Saccharomyces cerevisiae S288C: one gene and its partners. The protein of the gene in region 2 interacts with the protein of the main gene of each other region in a biochemical or structural test. Each region holds a gene or a part of one and is shown on either strand. Other genes may lie near its edges.

Evidence for each region.
Region 1: the proteins of PAB1 (region 2) and SUP35 form a complex in vitro, tested with the Saccharomyces cerevisiae proteins (3 studies listed by BioGRID).
Region 3: the proteins of PAB1 (region 2) and TIF4631 form a complex in vitro, tested with the Saccharomyces cerevisiae proteins (10 studies listed by BioGRID).
Region 4: the proteins of PAB1 (region 2) and TIF4632 form a complex in vitro, tested with the Saccharomyces cerevisiae proteins (6 studies listed by BioGRID).

Annotation. Positions count from the first base shown.
Region 1 is NC_001136.10:806,268-810,953, forward strand, and holds SUP35 (translation termination factor GTPase eRF3), read left to right. Parts: upstream 1-2,056; coding exon 2,057-4,114; downstream 4,115-4,686. Other genes in the region: heat shock protein HSP42, read left to right, coding at 354-1,481; ARG82 (inositol polyphosphate multikinase), read right to left, coding at 4,298-4,686. UniProt on the Saccharomyces cerevisiae protein: GTPase component of the eRF1-eRF3-GTP ternary complex, a ternary complex that mediates translation termination in response to the termination codons UAA, UAG and UGA.
Region 2 is NC_001137.3:508,230-512,776, forward strand, and holds PAB1 (polyadenylate-binding protein), read left to right. Parts: upstream 1-2,143; coding exon 2,144-3,877; downstream 3,878-4,547. Other genes in the region: chromatin-remodeling ATPase CHD1, read left to right, coding at 1-1,569; aminophospholipid-translocating P4-type ATPase DNF1, read left to right, coding at 4,515-4,547. UniProt on the Saccharomyces cerevisiae protein: Binds the poly(A) tail of mRNA. Appears to be an important mediator of the multiple roles of the poly(A) tail in mRNA biogenesis, stability and translation.
Region 3 is NC_001139.9:822,045-827,417, reverse strand, and holds TIF4631 (translation initiation factor eIF4G), read right to left. Parts: upstream 3,360-5,373; coding exon 501-3,359; downstream 1-500. Other genes in the region: YGR161C-C (gag protein), read left to right, coding at 4,403-5,373. UniProt on the Saccharomyces cerevisiae protein: Component of the eIF4F complex, which interacts with the mRNA cap structure and serves as an initial point of assembly for the translation apparatus.
Region 4 is NC_001139.9:406,360-411,642, reverse strand, and holds TIF4632 (translation initiation factor eIF4G), read left to right. Parts: upstream 1-2,038; coding exon 2,039-4,783; downstream 4,784-5,283. Other genes in the region: N-acetylglucosaminyldiphosphodolichol N-acetylglucosaminyltransferase catalytic subunit ALG13, read right to left, coding at 1-91; proteasome regulatory particle base subunit RPT6, read left to right, coding at 357-1,574; tRNA methyltransferase TYW3, read right to left, coding at 5,046-5,283. UniProt on the Saccharomyces cerevisiae protein: Component of the eIF4F complex, which interacts with the mRNA cap structure and serves as an initial point of assembly for the translation apparatus.

The DNA of each region.
Region 1 (4,686 bases), on a different chromosome or scaffold from region 2:
TTCAGCTTTCCCTATCAGCCGCTCGAGCAGTTATATAGGTGTGTTGCCGGAGTAATTTGGCGGAGGCCAACAGTGGCTAGGCGGCAACGCCTGGAACACGCGCTTAAAAGTTCTGGAAGGTTCGCGAATTGAGAACTGCTCAGGGGCGAATACAGGGGCGGCCTTGGCGGCAGGGGGGAGGCCTCTGTGAAGTTAGTTATATAAGACTTGCTGTCATCGTTTTTTTGATCCCGGCAGGAACTATCTTTTATTCTCATACATACGGTCAAGAAGTATAATTATACATAACATAGGGACACGTTCAGGCAATTGTCCATATCCCACACAAATTAAGATCATACCAAGCCGAAGCAATGAGTTTTTATCAACCATCCCTATCTCTTTATGACGTTTTGAACGCATTATCCAACCAAACTGGCCAGAGAGGGCAGCAAGGATATCCTCGCCAACCACAAAGGCCACAGAGATACCATCCCCATTATGGACAAGTGCACGTTGGCGGGCATCATCCTCGTCATCATCCATTGTATAGCAGATACAATGGTGTTCCTAATACCTATTACTACCAGTTCCCTGGACAAGCCTATTACTATAGTCCTGAATACGGTTATGATGACGAGGATGGTGAAGAAGAGGACCAAGACGAAGATATGGTGGGTGACAGCGGCACTACAAGACAGGAAGATGGTGGCGAGGACAGCAACTCGAGAAGATATCCATCATATTACCATTGTAATACTGCCAGGAATAATAGGACCAACCAACAGGCAAACAGTTTAAACGACTTATTAACCGCGTTAATAGGTGTTCCACCATATGAAGGCACTGAACCAGAAATTGAAGCAAATACCGAACAGGAGGGCGAAAAGGGAGAAGAAAAGGATAAGAAGGATAAGTCTGAAGCACCCAAAGAGGAAGCTGGCGAAACCAACAAAGAAAAACCTTTGAATCAGCTGGAGGAATCGTCGAGACCACCATTAGCCAAAAAATCTTCATCGTTCGCTCACCTACAAGCGCCTTCCCCAATACCTGACCCGTTACAAGTATCCAAGCCTGAAACGAGAATGGACTTACCATTTTCACCAGAAGTGAATGTCTATGATACCGAGGACACTTACGTAGTTGTTCTTGCGTTACCAGGTGCTAACTCTAGGGCTTTCCACATTGATTACCATCCATCTTCTCATGAGATGCTCATCAAGGGTAAGATCGAAGACAGAGTGGGCATTGATGAAAAATTCTTGAAGATCACGGAACTAAAATATGGTGCGTTTGAGAGAACCGTTAAATTCCCCGTGCTGCCACGCATTAAGGACGAAGAAATTAAAGCTACTTACAACAACGGTCTACTACAAATTAAGGTGCCTAAAATTGTCAATGACACTGAAAAGCCGAAGCCAAAAAAGAGGATCGCCATTGAGGAAATACCCGACGAAGAATTGGAGTTTGAAGAAAATCCCAACCCTACGGTAGAAAATTGAATATCGTATCTGTTTATACACACATACATACATTTATATTTATAATAAGCGTTAAAATTTCGGCAGAATATCTGTCAACCACACAAAAATCATACAACGAATGGTATATGCTTCATTTCTTTGTTTCGCATTAGCTGCGCTATTTGACTCAAATTATTATTTTTTACTAAGACGACGCGTCACAGTGTTCGAGTCTGTGTCATTTCTTTTGTAATTCTCTTAAACCACTTCATAAAGTTGTGAAGTTCATAGCAAAATTCTTCCGCAAAAAGATGAATCTTAGTTCTCAGCCCACCAAAAGAGGTACATGCTAAGATCATACAGAAGTTATTGTCACTTCTTACCTTGCTCTTAAATGTACATTACAACCGGGTATTATATCTTACATCATCGTATAATATGATCTTTCTTTATGGAGAAAATTTTTTTTTCACTCGACCAAAGCTCCCATTGCTTCTGAAGAGTGTAGTGTATATTGGTACATCTTCTCTTGAAAGACTCCATTGTACTGTAACAAAAAGCGGTTTCTTCATCGACTTGCTCGGAATAACATCTATATCTGCCCACTAGCAACAATGTCGGATTCAAACCAAGGCAACAATCAGCAAAACTACCAGCAATACAGCCAGAACGGTAACCAACAACAAGGTAACAACAGATACCAAGGTTATCAAGCTTACAATGCTCAAGCCCAACCTGCAGGTGGGTACTACCAAAATTACCAAGGTTATTCTGGGTACCAACAAGGTGGCTATCAACAGTACAATCCCGACGCCGGTTACCAGCAACAGTATAATCCTCAAGGAGGCTATCAACAGTACAATCCTCAAGGCGGTTATCAGCAGCAATTCAATCCACAAGGTGGCCGTGGAAATTACAAAAACTTCAACTACAATAACAATTTGCAAGGATATCAAGCTGGTTTCCAACCACAGTCTCAAGGTATGTCTTTGAACGACTTTCAAAAGCAACAAAAGCAGGCCGCTCCCAAACCAAAGAAGACTTTGAAGCTTGTCTCCAGTTCCGGTATCAAGTTGGCCAATGCTACCAAGAAGGTTGGCACAAAACCTGCCGAATCTGATAAGAAAGAGGAAGAGAAGTCTGCTGAAACCAAAGAACCAACTAAAGAGCCAACAAAGGTCGAAGAACCAGTTAAAAAGGAGGAGAAACCAGTCCAGACTGAAGAAAAGACGGAGGAAAAATCGGAACTTCCAAAGGTAGAAGACCTTAAAATCTCTGAATCAACACATAATACCAACAATGCCAATGTTACCAGTGCTGATGCCTTGATCAAGGAACAGGAAGAAGAAGTGGATGACGAAGTTGTTAACGATATGTTTGGTGGTAAAGATCACGTTTCTTTAATTTTCATGGGTCATGTTGATGCCGGTAAATCTACTATGGGTGGTAATCTACTATACTTGACTGGCTCTGTGGATAAGAGAACTATTGAGAAATATGAAAGAGAAGCCAAGGATGCAGGCAGACAAGGTTGGTACTTGTCATGGGTCATGGATACCAACAAAGAAGAAAGAAATGATGGTAAGACTATCGAAGTTGGTAAGGCCTACTTTGAAACTGAAAAAAGGCGTTATACCATATTGGATGCTCCTGGTCATAAAATGTACGTTTCCGAGATGATCGGTGGTGCTTCTCAAGCTGATGTTGGTGTTTTGGTCATTTCCGCCAGAAAGGGTGAGTACGAAACCGGTTTTGAGAGAGGTGGTCAAACTCGTGAACACGCCCTATTGGCCAAGACCCAAGGTGTTAATAAGATGGTTGTCGTCGTAAATAAGATGGATGACCCAACCGTTAACTGGTCTAAGGAACGTTACGACCAATGTGTGAGTAATGTCAGCAATTTCTTGAGAGCAATTGGTTACAACATTAAGACAGACGTTGTATTTATGCCAGTATCCGGCTACAGTGGTGCAAATTTGAAAGATCACGTAGATCCAAAAGAATGCCCATGGTACACCGGCCCAACTCTGTTAGAATATCTGGATACAATGAACCACGTCGACCGTCACATCAATGCTCCATTCATGTTGCCTATTGCCGCTAAGATGAAGGATCTAGGTACCATCGTTGAAGGTAAAATTGAATCCGGTCATATCAAAAAGGGTCAATCCACCCTACTGATGCCTAACAAAACCGCTGTGGAAATTCAAAATATTTACAACGAAACTGAAAATGAAGTTGATATGGCTATGTGTGGTGAGCAAGTTAAACTAAGAATCAAAGGTGTTGAAGAAGAAGACATTTCACCAGGTTTTGTACTAACATCGCCAAAGAACCCTATCAAGAGTGTTACCAAGTTTGTAGCTCAAATTGCTATTGTAGAATTAAAATCTATCATAGCAGCCGGTTTTTCATGTGTTATGCATGTTCATACAGCAATTGAAGAGGTACATATTGTTAAGTTATTGCACAAATTAGAAAAGGGTACCAACCGTAAGTCAAAGAAACCACCTGCTTTTGCTAAGAAGGGTATGAAGGTCATCGCTGTTTTAGAAACTGAAGCTCCAGTTTGTGTGGAAACTTACCAAGATTACCCTCAATTAGGTAGATTCACTTTGAGAGATCAAGGTACCACAATAGCAATTGGTAAAATTGTTAAAATTGCCGAGTAAATTTCTTGCAAACATAAGTAAATGCAAACACAATAATACCGATCATAAAGCATTTTCTTCTATATTAAAAAACAAGGTTTAATAAAGCTGTTATATATATATATATATATATAGACGTATAATTAGTTTAGTTCTTTTTGTACCATATACCATAAACAAGGTAAACTTCACCTCTCAATATATCTAGAATTTCATAAAAATATCTAGCAAGGTTTCAACTCCTTCAATCACGTTTTCATCATAACCCTTCCCCGGCGTTATTTCAGAATGTGCAAAATCTATTAGTGACATGGAACTCAAAGAACCAGTTGTTTTTTTGTCCTTTGGTCCTTCGCTGCTTCCCTCGGCATCATCATCATCATCATCATCATTATCATCATCGTCGTCATCATCGTCTATAAAATCATCTCGCATAAGTTTGTCAACATCATTTAGTAATTCCCATCGCTCCGGGTCTCCTTCGTAAATAAACAAAAGACTACTTGATATCATTCTAACTTCTTCTTCTAGCATAGTATTATAAAACAACTGCAATCTTTTCAAAAATGTTTTCTTCAGTTGATGCTTTCTCG
Region 2 (4,547 bases):
GAAGAGCAGAAACGCAAGGATGAAGAATATGTTAAAGAACAACTTGAAATGATGAATAGAAGGGATAACGCCCTAAAAAAAATAAAAAACAGTGTTAATGGTGATGGGACCGCCGCAAACTCAGATTCTGACGACGATAGTACTTCCAGATCTTCTAGAAGAAGAGCAAGAGCTAATGACATGGACTCTATTGGTGAATCGGAGGTGAGAGCTTTGTATAAAGCTATTTTAAAATTTGGCAACCTAAAGGAGATTTTGGACGAGTTGATTGCAGATGGAACCCTGCCGGTCAAATCATTTGAAAAATACGGTGAAACTTACGATGAAATGATGGAAGCAGCTAAAGACTGTGTACACGAGGAAGAGAAAAATAGAAAAGAAATCTTGGAGAAACTTGAGAAGCATGCTACCGCCTATAGAGCAAAGCTAAAAAGCGGTGAAATAAAAGCAGAGAACCAACCAAAGGATAATCCGTTGACTAGATTATCTTTAAAAAAAAGAGAAAAGAAAGCCGTCCTTTTCAACTTTAAAGGTGTTAAATCTTTAAACGCCGAATCTTTACTAAGTAGAGTGGAGGATTTAAAGTACTTGAAGAACTTGATAAATTCAAACTACAAAGATGATCCATTAAAGTTTAGCCTAGGCAACAACACACCTAAGCCTGTACAGAATTGGTCATCTAATTGGACGAAAGAGGAAGATGAGAAGCTATTGATTGGTGTTTTCAAATATGGATATGGTTCCTGGACACAAATAAGAGACGATCCATTTCTAGGCATTACTGATAAAATATTCTTGAATGAAGTTCACAATCCGGTAGCAAAAAAGTCGGCAAGCTCCTCTGATACAACACCAACACCCTCAAAGAAAGGAAAGGGAATAACGGGTTCTTCAAAAAAAGTACCTGGTGCCATTCACTTGGGCAGAAGAGTTGATTATCTATTATCCTTCTTAAGAGGAGGCCTAAATACAAAGAGTCCCAGTGCTGACATAGGCTCGAAAAAACTCCCTACTGGTCCTTCCAAAAAGAGACAAAGAAAACCTGCTAATCACAGCAAATCCATGACTCCAGAAATTACAAGTTCTGAGCCTGCAAATGGCCCGCCAAGCAAACGTATGAAAGCCCTCCCAAAAGGTCCTGCCGCCTTAATAAATAACACGAGATTGTCTCCAAACAGCCCCACGCCCCCATTAAAGTCCAAGGTTTCCAGAGATAATGGTACAAGGCAATCAAGCAACCCCAGTAGCGGCAGCGCTCACGAAAAAGAATATGACAGCATGGATGAAGAAGACTGTCGACACACAATGAGTGCAATACGTACTTCTTTGAAGCGACTTAGAAGAGGCGGCAAAAGTCTTGATCGTAAGGAATGGGCCAAAATTTTGAAGACCGAATTAACTACGATTGGTAATCATATCGAATCGCAAAAGGGCTCATCGAGAAAGGCAAGCCCAGAAAAATATCGCAAGCACCTTTGGTCTTACAGTGCCAACTTTTGGCCTGCCGACGTTAAGAGTACAAAGCTGATGGCAATGTACGACAAGATAACAGAGTCTCAAAAGAAGTGAAACAATTTTTCTTCACCACATTTTCCATTGTTCCTTCCCCCCATAACTATAAACGTATTTATGTATATATATTTGCGTGTAAGTGTGTGTACTATAGGGCACCGTAAAGTAATAATGCTTAATTAGTTACTACTATGACCATATAAGAGGTCATACTGTATGAAGCCACAAAGCAGATAGATCAATCATGTTTAACGAAAACTGTTAATCGAAGATTATTTCTTTTTTTTTTTCTCTTTCCTTTTTACAAAGAAAATTTTTTTTGCGCTTTTTGCCATCACCATCGCAAGTTCTGGGACAATTGTTCTCTTTCGCTCCAGTTCCAAGGAAAGAGGTTTCTGTTTTACTTAATAGAAAGTGTCATCTTGTATTTTATATCTCTTCTTTCTTGTGTAAAATTCTTTAGTTTTGATTTTGTATTTTTAGGACAGTGAGCTACGAAGTAACATTTTTACTTAATAACCGTTTGAAGCATAGAGCAGGCCCTGGTACCACCACCTAATATCTGGCTTTTTATTCAATAAAAACTCAAAAAAAAAAATCCAAAAAAAACTAAAAAACCAATAAAAATAAAATGGCTGATATTACTGATAAGACAGCTGAACAATTGGAAAACTTGAATATTCAAGATGACCAAAAGCAAGCCGCCACTGGTTCAGAAAGCCAATCTGTTGAAAACTCTTCTGCATCATTATATGTTGGTGACTTAGAACCTTCTGTTTCCGAAGCCCACTTATATGATATCTTCTCTCCAATCGGTTCAGTCTCCTCCATTCGTGTCTGTCGTGATGCCATCACTAAGACCTCTTTGGGCTATGCTTATGTTAACTTTAACGACCATGAAGCCGGCAGAAAAGCAATTGAGCAATTGAACTACACTCCAATCAAGGGTAGATTATGCCGTATTATGTGGTCTCAACGTGACCCATCATTGAGAAAGAAGGGTTCTGGTAACATCTTTATCAAGAACTTGCACCCTGATATTGACAACAAGGCTTTGTATGACACTTTCTCTGTGTTTGGTGACATCTTGTCCAGCAAGATTGCCACCGACGAAAACGGAAAATCCAAGGGTTTTGGGTTTGTTCACTTCGAAGAAGAAGGTGCTGCCAAGGAAGCTATTGATGCTTTGAATGGTATGCTGTTGAACGGTCAAGAAATTTATGTTGCTCCTCACTTGTCCAGAAAGGAACGTGACTCTCAATTGGAAGAGACTAAGGCACATTACACTAACCTTTATGTGAAAAACATCAACTCCGAAACTACTGACGAACAATTCCAAGAATTGTTTGCCAAATTTGGTCCAATTGTTTCTGCCTCTTTGGAAAAGGATGCTGATGGAAAATTGAAGGGTTTCGGGTTTGTTAACTACGAAAAGCATGAAGACGCTGTGAAAGCTGTTGAAGCTTTGAATGACTCTGAACTAAATGGAGAAAAGTTATACGTTGGTCGTGCCCAAAAGAAGAATGAACGTATGCATGTCTTGAAGAAGCAATACGAAGCTTACAGATTGGAAAAAATGGCCAAGTACCAAGGTGTTAATTTGTTTGTTAAGAACTTAGATGACAGCGTTGATGACGAAAAGTTGGAAGAAGAATTTGCTCCATATGGTACTATCACTTCTGCAAAGGTTATGAGAACCGAAAACGGTAAGTCTAAGGGTTTTGGTTTTGTTTGTTTCTCAACTCCAGAGGAAGCTACTAAGGCCATTACAGAAAAGAACCAACAAATTGTTGCTGGTAAGCCATTATACGTTGCCATTGCTCAAAGAAAAGACGTAAGACGTTCTCAATTGGCTCAACAAATCCAAGCCAGAAATCAAATGAGATACCAGCAAGCTACTGCTGCCGCTGCCGCCGCCGCTGCCGGTATGCCAGGTCAATTCATGCCTCCAATGTTCTATGGTGTTATGCCACCAAGAGGTGTTCCATTCAACGGTCCAAACCCACAACAAATGAACCCAATGGGCGGTATGCCAAAGAACGGCATGCCACCTCAATTTAGAAATGGTCCGGTTTACGGCGTCCCCCCACAAGGTGGTTTCCCAAGAAATGCCAACGATAACAACCAATTTTATCAACAAAAGCAAAGACAAGCTTTGGGTGAACAATTATACAAGAAGGTTTCTGCTAAGACTTCAAATGAAGAAGCAGCTGGTAAAATTACTGGTATGATTTTGGATTTGCCACCTCAAGAGGTCTTCCCATTGTTGGAAAGTGATGAATTGTTCGAACAACACTACAAAGAAGCTTCTGCTGCCTATGAGTCTTTCAAAAAGGAGCAAGAACAACAAACTGAGCAAGCTTAATGCTCTATGTAATCACCTACTTCCCTACTCAACAAACTTATCATCTTTTTTTTCTCCCTTCCCTTTTTTTTTTGTCTTAAATACTAGTTATTATCCTTTGTAACCTAAATACTCGCTCTTATTGACAAAATGCAAACGTTTTTTGTTTTTAACTGTCAAGAGAAGTATCATTTTACTATTATTAGACTTCATTACTGAGTTTATTAGTTGCGTTTTTTTGAGGTCTCATTATTAACGGCAGAATGTTAGTTTTCGCGGAAAATAAACAAAATAGCACGGAAAAAAGACCAACAGGTTCCAGGAAAATACTAATTTACAAAAAATTGACAAATCAAGTGAGGGTACCTTGCTATTCATCACCGCATTCAACTAACTGGAGGTACAAAGCTGATAAAATTTCACAGAGCAAAGTCTCACTTAGCTTTTACTTTATGAAATTTGACCTTTAATAACCGAAGGTCATCGTAATACGCAACTCAGACAGTTTTAAGTGGATTTTTAGGGTCGCAATTAAAAACACTCAAAAATTAACCGGAGGTTGAGCAAGGGAAAGCAACCGTAACAGAAATCCTTTATTTCCTCCTGGAAGTGAAATAAAAACGCAGTTAACTTTAAAAAGGAAAGTTAGTTGATAATTATGTCTGGAACTTTTCATGGCGATGGGCATGCT
Region 3 (5,373 bases), on a different chromosome or scaffold from region 2:
CGGTCCTTTCCTTTCGTGGCCTCTGTAAAAAAAAGGACAAATGGTGAAGCAGTAGCATGATTAAATCGAAATATGAAGTTAAAGCCGTCAGCTAATAAATGATATAAATATACAAAACTATACATATGCTGAGTGGTCTATTATATAAAACATATCGTAAACGAAGACTGGCGAAGCTATAAATAAAAATACAGAAAGGCATTGACATATAGAACAAGATAGGAAAAAAAAGCACAGTAAGAGGATTACCCATTAAAATGCATCAAACTTGTTTATAGCTTTTAGTGAAAAGAAATGAGCCCATTAATCGAGAAAATATAACAATGGTAAATTAGGGACACTTTTTTTTTCTTCTCCATGCATATATTTTCAATTAATAGCGCAGGATTAAACGTAAGATTAAATTTGTGTTGTACTATTAATTTATTATTTTATTAGACTTTCTACCAACATCCTTGTATCCAAGTGACATTTTCGATACTTAACATGATCTATTCATGTTACTCTTCGTCATCACTTTCTCCCATTAATGCACTGAACATATTTGTTGCGGTAGAAGTTGGTGCAGCTGGTTCTTCCTTTGGAGGAGGAGCCCTTTGGCTATTTCTTTGAGAATATGTTCTGGTTGTGATAAAGCTATCTTTTGATGCAGGAGGAGCGTCCCTTCTGAAAGAGTGTCTATTACTGGAGTTGTTCGTACGTCTTGAATTAGATCTTGAATTATTCTTCAATTGACGTTGTCTCTCCTCTTCCTCATGAATCTGTTGAATGGTCTTAGGACCGTTGTCCTTCTTATCACTGTTCCAGTTCTTGTCGTGCCTTAATTCTTTAATGTCGATCAACTTGAACTTGATTCTACTAGAAATCTTAGCAGTTTGAATAATATTGTCTAAAATACCGAACAAACTATCGAGCAATTGCGAACCCTCCAATGTTGCTTGACCCGTTCTGAAACTATCGGTCTCAAATTGTTCACCAACAGTATTTAACAATTCAACAACGGACTCTAGAGTTTCTTCAGATGGAGAATCCGTCAAATCCTTCATTAGTCTACGGAAACATTCGAACATCATCTTTCCAGTCAACAGATTCAGACGGTATAGGAAACCGATGAAACGAACCAAACCTAAACCTCTTCTCTTAGCAGAAGCAGCTGCATAGTACTCTTCTGACATCATCTCAGGTTCTAATGGAGTACCATCTTCGTTTGTGGGTAATTTATCGGTCCAACCCTTGTCAAATTCGGCATGACATCTAGCAACCAAGTAATGCAAAACCAATTTTGGACCTGTCTTACCTTCATTAGTTTCATCTGTTATATCTGGGTTTAATTCTTTAACTACTTTACCACATAATTGCGCGTACATAGAAGACCAATGGGGTTCGTCACAGGCCTTTAAGAAAATCTGTTCTATCACAGCCTTTAACGTTTCACCATTTGTTTCCCATACTGATATGTTTGCAATAGCCAAAATTTCAGATGAAATAGCATCGAACATTTCCAAAGTAAGTTTATTCAGTAGTGACTTCATCTTTCTTTCAACTTCATCCTTGTCCAATAGTTCGGTCTTTCCGTCAGGGGCTAGCTTCTTTTCAGTCTTTTTAGACTTGAATTTTGGCACCCACCTATTAGCACTTGGAACAAGTGGAGCAACTTCTTCCTTTGGTTTATCGTCCTCTCTTTTCTCTTCATTTCTGTAGGAGCCTCTCTCGCGGTCTCTTCTTGATGTATAAGATCTATTAGATCTCCTGTCGTCATTCATTCTCTTTGATCTTCTCTTTGATGAAGTTCTTGAATTAGCTCTGTCATCCATATTTCTCACTGAGGTATTTCTAAAGTCATGGCCACGACTAGAATTATTGCCGAATCTGCCAGAATCTCTAGATCTATTTCCTCTGCCCATTCCTGGTGGAATGACAATTTTAGAAGCAGTGCTTTGGACCCATTCGGCGTCCGCTTTGACGTTTAGTTTGTCCTTAAATTGAAGCAAGAAAGTTGGGCCATATGTATATTTGACGTGTTCTTTCTTGTATTTGATATCAGGACCTTCAATACCTTCTGGATAGTTAAAAGAAAAGACATCTTCAATTGGTGTAGCATCTTTCAATACATTCAATATGTGAGAAACGGTGTTTGTACCATCATCAGTTTCATCAGTTGTAGTTTCGATTTCAGCTTCAAGTCCAATCTTTGTTCCAGCATCACCTGCTTCAGCCTCAACTTCAGCTTCAGCTTCATCAGATTTAGTAGGGATAGCCGGAGTTGTTGCAGATTCATCAATGTTTGACTGTTCGGTTTCGGCGACCTCAGTTTCTTCTTTAACCTGTTCACTGGGAGGCACAGGAGCAGACTCGATGGCGCTCTTAGTCTCTTCCTGTACTGGCACTTCCTTGTTTTCCTTCCCCTCCGTTTTTTCTTCTCGTTCTTTTTGTTGTTTCTTCAACTTCAAACGTTCAGCAAAGGTTAACACCTTTGGAGTGGATTCTTCCTTTATTTGGCCCTTTTCTCCTTGTTCACCTTCTTCAGCTGGAGTTTCTTGCTTAACTTCTGGCTCAGCAGATTTTTCTTCAGCAGGCTTGGTTTTTTCGGTTACCTCAGGTTTGTCCGATCCCTTCTCTTCCACATTTTCTGGGGTAGTCTTCATTGGAATATTATTGTTGCCACTAGAACCTTCAAGTTGCTCCTTTCTCTTCTTTTCTAAAGCAGCTTTACGAAGTTTAACTTGCTCGATGAAATTTCTTCTTGTCTTTTCAGCTTCAGATATATTTTCTTCAGAACTGGCCTTAGAGTCATTAGTGGAAGGGGTAGGAGTTGGAGTAGAAGTAGAAGTAGAATCAGAAGTTTCTTTTAACTTTGACTCTGGTTGCGGAGACACAGTAGATCTTTCCTGAGACTGTAGCTTGGCTTTATGCTGTTCTTTCAAATCTAAGTGTTCACCAGACTTGGTAGTGATTTCTATCTTAGTTGGAACAGGTGACTTCTCTTCGACAGGAATTGGATTAGCAGGGGCACTACCAGCGGCCGCCATTTGCTGGGGCTGGTAGTAAACGGGGTAGTTATTATAGTAACCAGTCCATGGCACGTTTGAGCTGTTGGCTCCCATGTGTCCACCTCTGAAACTACCGCCACCATTATAGTTGCCACGGTTGTTATATCTGTTTGGTCCAAATTTACCACCTCTTTGCTGATGAGGTCTGTTGCTGTTGTAAGGCTTCTTTTGGGTATAGTTGCTACCATTGTTGTAGTTGGTGTAGCCACGTTGTTGCTGAGATTCCTGCTGGTCATCGCCTGTCTGTTTCAGAGCAGCAGATTCCTGCTTTGAAGCAGATTGTGTCGGGTGAGCAGTTTCGTCTGTCATTATTGTAATAGGTAATTACAGTTGTCCTCTTACCTTGCTTATTTATGAGCAAGAAGGAGTAAAGTAAGAAGCTTTAAGAAATTGAAGGGAAGAGGAAGAATCATAATTAAGTAAATTATCACAATATCAAGATTGGTAAAATTTCAAGCAACATATTGAAATTCCATCTACCATCCATCCGTTGCACACAGAGAACGCGGCATCGAAAATTTTTCTTGAAAAAAAAACTTTTGTCAGTGAAACAGTACGAGAAAAAAAAAAAATAAAAAAAAAGCTATAATTGAAAAAGGACGCACAAAAATACGGTGAAAAAGAAAAAAAAAATCGTTTCTCACGTCGTTATCGAGTCGCGATGAGGATAGCGCCCATCATATGATCATCCCATTACGATGGAAGTCTGCCATCATGATGTCCAAGAGGGTCCTTAAAGCTATTAGTAAGTAAAAAAAAACTGTTGTTCCAGAGATATTGAAAAAAGCCTTATTAATGTAATCTTCAAAAAATGATTTCGCCCAGGATCGAACTGGGGACGTTCTGCGTGTTAAGCAGATGCCATAACCGACTAGACCACGAAACCACTCTTATTGGAAGATTGATCCAATTAAAGGGGAATAGGTCACATGAAACGACGACAACTATGCTGGTTATTACCTAGAGGGATAATTGCAAGCTAGATCTTGAAACGAACAGAGGAAAAAAGCTAAAGTAGTAACAACAACCAATATATGTATATATGAAGAGAATGTGGATTTTGTTGGAATAAAAATCCACTATCGTCTATCAACTAATAGTTATATTATCAATATATTATCATATACGGTGTTAAGATGATGACATAAGTTATGAGAAGCTGTCATCGAAGTTAGAGGAAGCTGAAGTGCAAGGATTGATAATGTAATAGGATAATGAAACATATAAAACGGAATGAGGAATAATCGTAATATTAGTATGTAGAAATATAGATTCCATTTTGAGGATTCCTATATCCTCGAGGAGAACTTCTAGTATATTCTGTATACCTAATATTATAGCCTTTATCAACAATGGAATCCCAACAATTATCTAATTACCCACATATATCTCATGGTAGCGCCTGTGCTTCGGTTACTTCTAAGGAAGTCCACACAAATCAAGATCCGTTAGACGTTTCAGCTTCCAAAATTCAAGAATATGATAAGGCTTCCACTAAGGCTAACTCTCAACAGACAACAACACCTGCTTCATCAGCTGTTCCAGAGAACCCCCATCATGCCTCTCCTCAACCTGCTTCAGTACCACCTCCACAGAATGGGCCGTACCCACAGCAGTGCATGATGACCCAAAACCAAGCCAATCCATCTGGTTGGTCATTTTACGGACACCCATCTATGATTCCGTATACACCTTATCAAATGTCGCCTATGTACTTTCCACCTGGGCCACAATCACAGTTTCCGCAGTATCCATCATCAGTTGGAACGCCTCTGAGCACTCCATCACCTGAGTCAGGTAATACATTTACTGATTCATCCTCAGCGGACTCTGATATGACATCCACTAAAAAATATGTCAGACCACCACCAATGTTAACCTCACCTAATGACTTTCCAAATTGGGTTAAAACATACATCAAATTTTTACAAAACTCGAATCTCGGTGGTATTATTCCGACAGTAAACGGAAAACCCGTACGTCAGATCACTGATGATGAACTCACCTTCTTGTATAACACTTTTCAAATATTTGCTCCCTCTCAATTCCTACCTACCTGGGTCAAAGACATCCTATCCGTTGATTATACGGATATCATGAAAATTCTTTCCAAAAGTATTGAAAAAATGCAATCTGATACCCAAGAGGCAAACGACATTGTGACCCTGGCAAATTTGCAATATAATGGCAGTACACCTGCAGATGCATTTGAAACAAAAGTCACAAACATTATCGACAGACTGAACAATAATGGCATTCATATCAATAACAAGGTCGCATGCCAATTAATTATGAGAGGTCTATCTGGCGAATATAAATTTTT
Region 4 (5,283 bases), on a different chromosome or scaffold from region 2:
ATTCGTCGCTTAGCACACATGAGACGAGCTTTGGAAATGGCACCGTTGCCCCACACGTAACAAAAAGAGCCTTTTCTTCAATAATACCCATTGTTTGAAAGAGCTGGCTTCTGACTCGTTTGTTTAACCTCTTTTTGCGACTGAAAACTTGTTTTTCTATTTCCCTTTTTCTTCGGTTGGGTTTTTTAATATGAAATCATATTTTGCATACTTCTCTACCCTTATTCTTGTTCGGAAATTTTCGTATTTTAAAACTGTCAAAATGCGAGCGAGGTGGCAAAAGTTGTAATATCAGTAACAGTTAGGTTAGGTTTTATGTAAACGGAACAACAGTATAGTGGGATACTATCACGACAATGACAGCTGCTGTAACATCCTCCAATATAGTATTAGAAACCCACGAAAGTGGTATCAAACCATATTTTGAACAGAAGATCCAAGAAACAGAATTAAAGATCCGCTCCAAAACAGAAAATGTTCGCAGACTGGAAGCTCAAAGGAATGCATTGAATGACAAAGTACGTTTTATCAAGGACGAACTGCGTCTATTACAGGAACCTGGATCTTATGTGGGTGAAGTTATAAAGATCGTGTCTGACAAAAAAGTTCTCGTTAAAGTGCAACCTGAGGGAAAATACATCGTGGATGTTGCAAAAGATATAAACGTGAAGGACTTAAAGGCATCTCAAAGAGTTTGTCTAAGGAGTGACTCTTATATGTTGCATAAAGTTCTTGAGAATAAGGCTGACCCACTAGTTTCGTTGATGATGGTGGAAAAAGTTCCTGATTCCACATACGATATGGTTGGTGGTTTGACAAAGCAAATAAAGGAGATTAAAGAAGTTATTGAATTGCCCGTAAAACATCCTGAACTTTTTGAAAGTTTGGGTATTGCGCAACCAAAGGGTGTCATCTTATATGGCCCCCCTGGTACAGGGAAAACCTTATTGGCAAGAGCTGTCGCACATCACACTGATTGTAAATTCATCAGGGTCAGTGGTGCGGAACTGGTACAAAAGTATATCGGCGAAGGTTCCCGTATGGTCCGTGAGCTGTTTGTGATGGCTAGAGAACATGCTCCCTCAATTATCTTTATGGATGAAATCGATTCCATTGGCTCTACTCGTGTAGAAGGTTCTGGTGGTGGTGATTCAGAAGTTCAAAGAACAATGTTAGAACTACTAAACCAATTGGACGGGTTTGAAACTTCTAAAAATATCAAGATCATAATGGCCACGAATAGACTAGATATTCTAGATCCAGCACTTTTGAGACCCGGTAGAATAGATAGGAAGATTGAATTTCCACCTCCAAGTGTCGCAGCTAGAGCTGAAATTTTAAGAATCCATTCCAGAAAAATGAATCTAACTCGTGGTATCAACTTGAGAAAGGTTGCTGAAAAGATGAACGGTTGTTCTGGTGCCGATGTCAAAGGTGTCTGTACAGAAGCTGGTATGTATGCTTTAAGAGAAAGAAGAATACACGTTACTCAAGAAGACTTCGAACTCGCTGTGGGTAAGGTTATGAACAAGAACCAAGAAACGGCCATTTCTGTCGCCAAGCTGTTCAAGTGATGTATTCGTTTCACTTGGCTCATTGTATATGTTACTTAGTGTATGTGTATAATATCATAGTTTAGCATTAACTAAGAGGCAAAATTATACCGCTGGATATACAGGATATAACAACCGTTTGTCTTTTCGAGAACAGAGGGGCAGAGCATTGCTGCTTTTTCCCCGTCCTGACCTTATTAATAGTAAGCCGGGGGGCCCGTTCCTTTAGTGTATTTTGAAAAATAGTAGGTACCTGCTTTGCAAAAAGGACTGAAAAAAAAAAGATAATAAGTTTTTGATTAGAGGTAAACACAGCAAACGACCACTCAGCCTAGCAGCCTTGACCCTCGAATTTAAAAAGGCGTCTGTGTTGATAGTAACTAGAAGATAACGTTTACTACGGCGACTTCATATTTTTAGGCTGTTTTTACTGTTCCTGAAAGAAAGAATTTATTACAAAGAACAATAGATCAATTGTAGGCACTATGACTGACCAAAGAGGTCCACCGCCCCCACACCCGCAGCAAGCCAATGGCTACAAGAAATTTCCTCCTCATGATAACCAATACTCTGGAGCCAATAATAGTCAGCCAAATAACCACTACAATGAAAATCTTTACAGTGCAAGGGAACCTCACAATAACAAGCAATACCAGTCGAAAAATGGCAAATACGGGACAAATAAATACAATAATCGTAATAATAGTCAAGGAAATGCACAGTACTACAATAACAGATTCAATAATGGCTACAGACTGAATAACAACGACTATAACCCGGCAATGTTGCCAGGTATGCAATGGCCAGCTAACTACTATGCTCCTCAGATGTATTATATACCCCAACAAATGGTTCCAGTTGCTTCTCCACCATATACACACCAACCACTCAACACTAATCCCGAACCTCCCTCTACACCTAAAACTACAAAAATAGAAATCACTACGAAAACTGGTGAACGTTTAAATTTGAAAAAATTCCACGAAGAAAAGAAAGCTTCGAAAGGTGAAGAGAAGAATGATGGGGTAGAGCAGAAATCTAAATCAGGAACCCCTTTTGAAAAGGAGGCAACTCCTGTACTACCTGCTAATGAAGCAGTTAAAGATACGTTAACCGAAACATCTAATGAAAAATCTACCTCTGAAGCGGAAAATACTAAGAGATTATTTTTAGAGCAGGTGAGATTGCGCAAAGCTGCCATGGAAAGAAAGAAAAACGGTTTAATCTCCGAAACTGAGAAGAAGCAAGAAACTTCAAATCATGATAATACTGATACAACTAAGCCCAACTCGGTTATTGAATCTGAACCTATTAAGGAAGCGCCGAAACCAACGGGAGAAGCTAATGAAGTTGTGATTGATGGAAAATCAGGGGCAAGTGTCAAAACTCCACAACATGTAACTGGAAGTGTAACTAAATCCGTGACTTTTAACGAACCCGAGAATGAGAGCAGTTCTCAGGATGTTGATGAGCTTGTTAAAGATGATGATACTACTGAAATTTCGGATACGACTGGTGGAAAAACTGTAAATAAAAGTGACGACGAAACAATAAATTCCGTAATCACCACAGAGGAGAACACAGTGAAGGAGACAGAACCTTCCACTTCCGATATTGAGATGCCAACTGTATCTCAACTACTTGAAACTTTAGGTAAGGCTCAACCAATTTCTGACATATATGAGTTTGCCTATCCGGAAAATGTTGAAAGGCCTGATATCAAATACAAGAAACCAAGCGTTAAGTACACTTATGGCCCTACCTTCTTACTGCAATTCAAAGATAAACTAAAATTCAGGCCTGATCCTGCGTGGGTTGAAGCTGTATCCTCGAAAATTGTTATACCTCCTCATATAGCCAGAAATAAACCAAAAGATAGTGGCAGATTTGGAGGCGATTTCAGAAGTCCATCTATGCGCGGTATGGACCATACTTCCAGTTCAAGAGTTTCATCGAAAAGAAGATCAAAGAGAATGGGTGACGACAGAAGATCTAATAGAGGATATACCTCCAGAAAAGATCGCGAAAAAGCTGCAGAAAAGGCAGAAGAGCAAGCTCCAAAGGAAGAAATCGCCCCGTTGGTTCCGAGTGCTAATAGATGGATACCTAAATCAAGGGTTAAAAAAACAGAAAAGAAGTTAGCTCCTGACGGCAAAACTGAATTATTTGACAAGGAAGAAGTAGAACGAAAAATGAAGTCTCTATTAAACAAGTTAACTTTAGAAATGTTTGATTCAATCTCCTCTGAGATTTTGGATATAGCAAACCAATCAAAGTGGGAAGATGATGGCGAAACATTGAAAATAGTTATTGAACAAATTTTCCACAAGGCTTGTGATGAACCTCATTGGTCTTCAATGTATGCTCAGTTATGTGGCAAAGTGGTCAAAGACCTTGACCCAAACATTAAAGATAAAGAGAACGAAGGAAAGAATGGACCAAAGCTTGTGTTGCATTATTTAGTGGCAAGATGTCACGAAGAATTTGAGAAAGGTTGGGCTGATAAGTTGCCTGCAGGAGAAGATGGTAATCCACTAGAACCTGAAATGATGTCCGATGAGTATTATATTGCGGCTGCCGCCAAGAGAAGAGGGTTAGGTTTAGTACGTTTCATAGGGTACTTATATTGTTTGAACTTATTAACTGGTAAGATGATGTTTGAGTGCTTCCGGAGATTAATGAAAGATCTAAACAACGATCCATCCGAGGAGACATTAGAGTCCGTTATTGAATTACTGAATACTGTGGGTGAACAATTTGAACATGATAAATTTGTTACGCCTCAGGCAACTCTTGAAGGTTCGGTACTACTCGACAATCTATTTATGTTGTTACAACATATCATTGACGGTGGCACCATATCGAACAGAATAAAGTTCAAGTTGATAGACGTGAAGGAATTGAGGGAAATTAAGCATTGGAACAGCGCTAAGAAAGACGCCGGACCAAAGACAATTCAACAAATCCACCAAGAAGAAGAACAATTACGTCAGAAAAAGAACAGTCAGAGATCAAATTCTAGATTCAACAATCACAACCAATCGAACAGCAACAGATATTCTTCTAACAGAAGGAACATGCAAAACACCCAAAGAGATAGTTTTGCTTCCACGAAAACAGGTTCTTTCAGAAATAACCAAAGAAATGCTCGTAAAGTCGAAGAAGTTTCTCAAGCTCCAAGAGCTAATATGTTCGACGCATTAATGAATAACGATGGGGACAGTGATTAAAAGATTTTCTTTTAGAAACGATAAGCTAGTCTTTTTCCTTTTTAATTCATGTGTTAAACCTTTTTGTGCATTAACTAGACCTGATCTTTCATCATATACAGATAAATTTAAGAAAAAAAATAAGTTTTAATGTGTATATTACAAAATAATAACGCTTTTATCCCGTCAAAGATTAACAAGATTATATAACAACGAAAAATGAACGCAAGAGCCACAAGAAAGAAAAATAAAGGCTGAGTAATTCTTGGTATGTCCCCTTTTCTTATAGCACATTTTGTGGGCTCTTAAGTTGACGTTGTCTCTCCATACCTTCTCTTTTCTTTCGTTCTCTCCTCTCTTCCTTTGTTTCGATTGGCGTTATATTGACCTTAGAATTTACATCCGGCGCACAATTTATGAGTTCTTTTTCAATTCTATCATATAGTGCTTGCATTTTCCTGGTATTCTCATCGAATTTGCTTAACGATAAAGAATCCAGAACGCTTACGTATTCTGGAGTT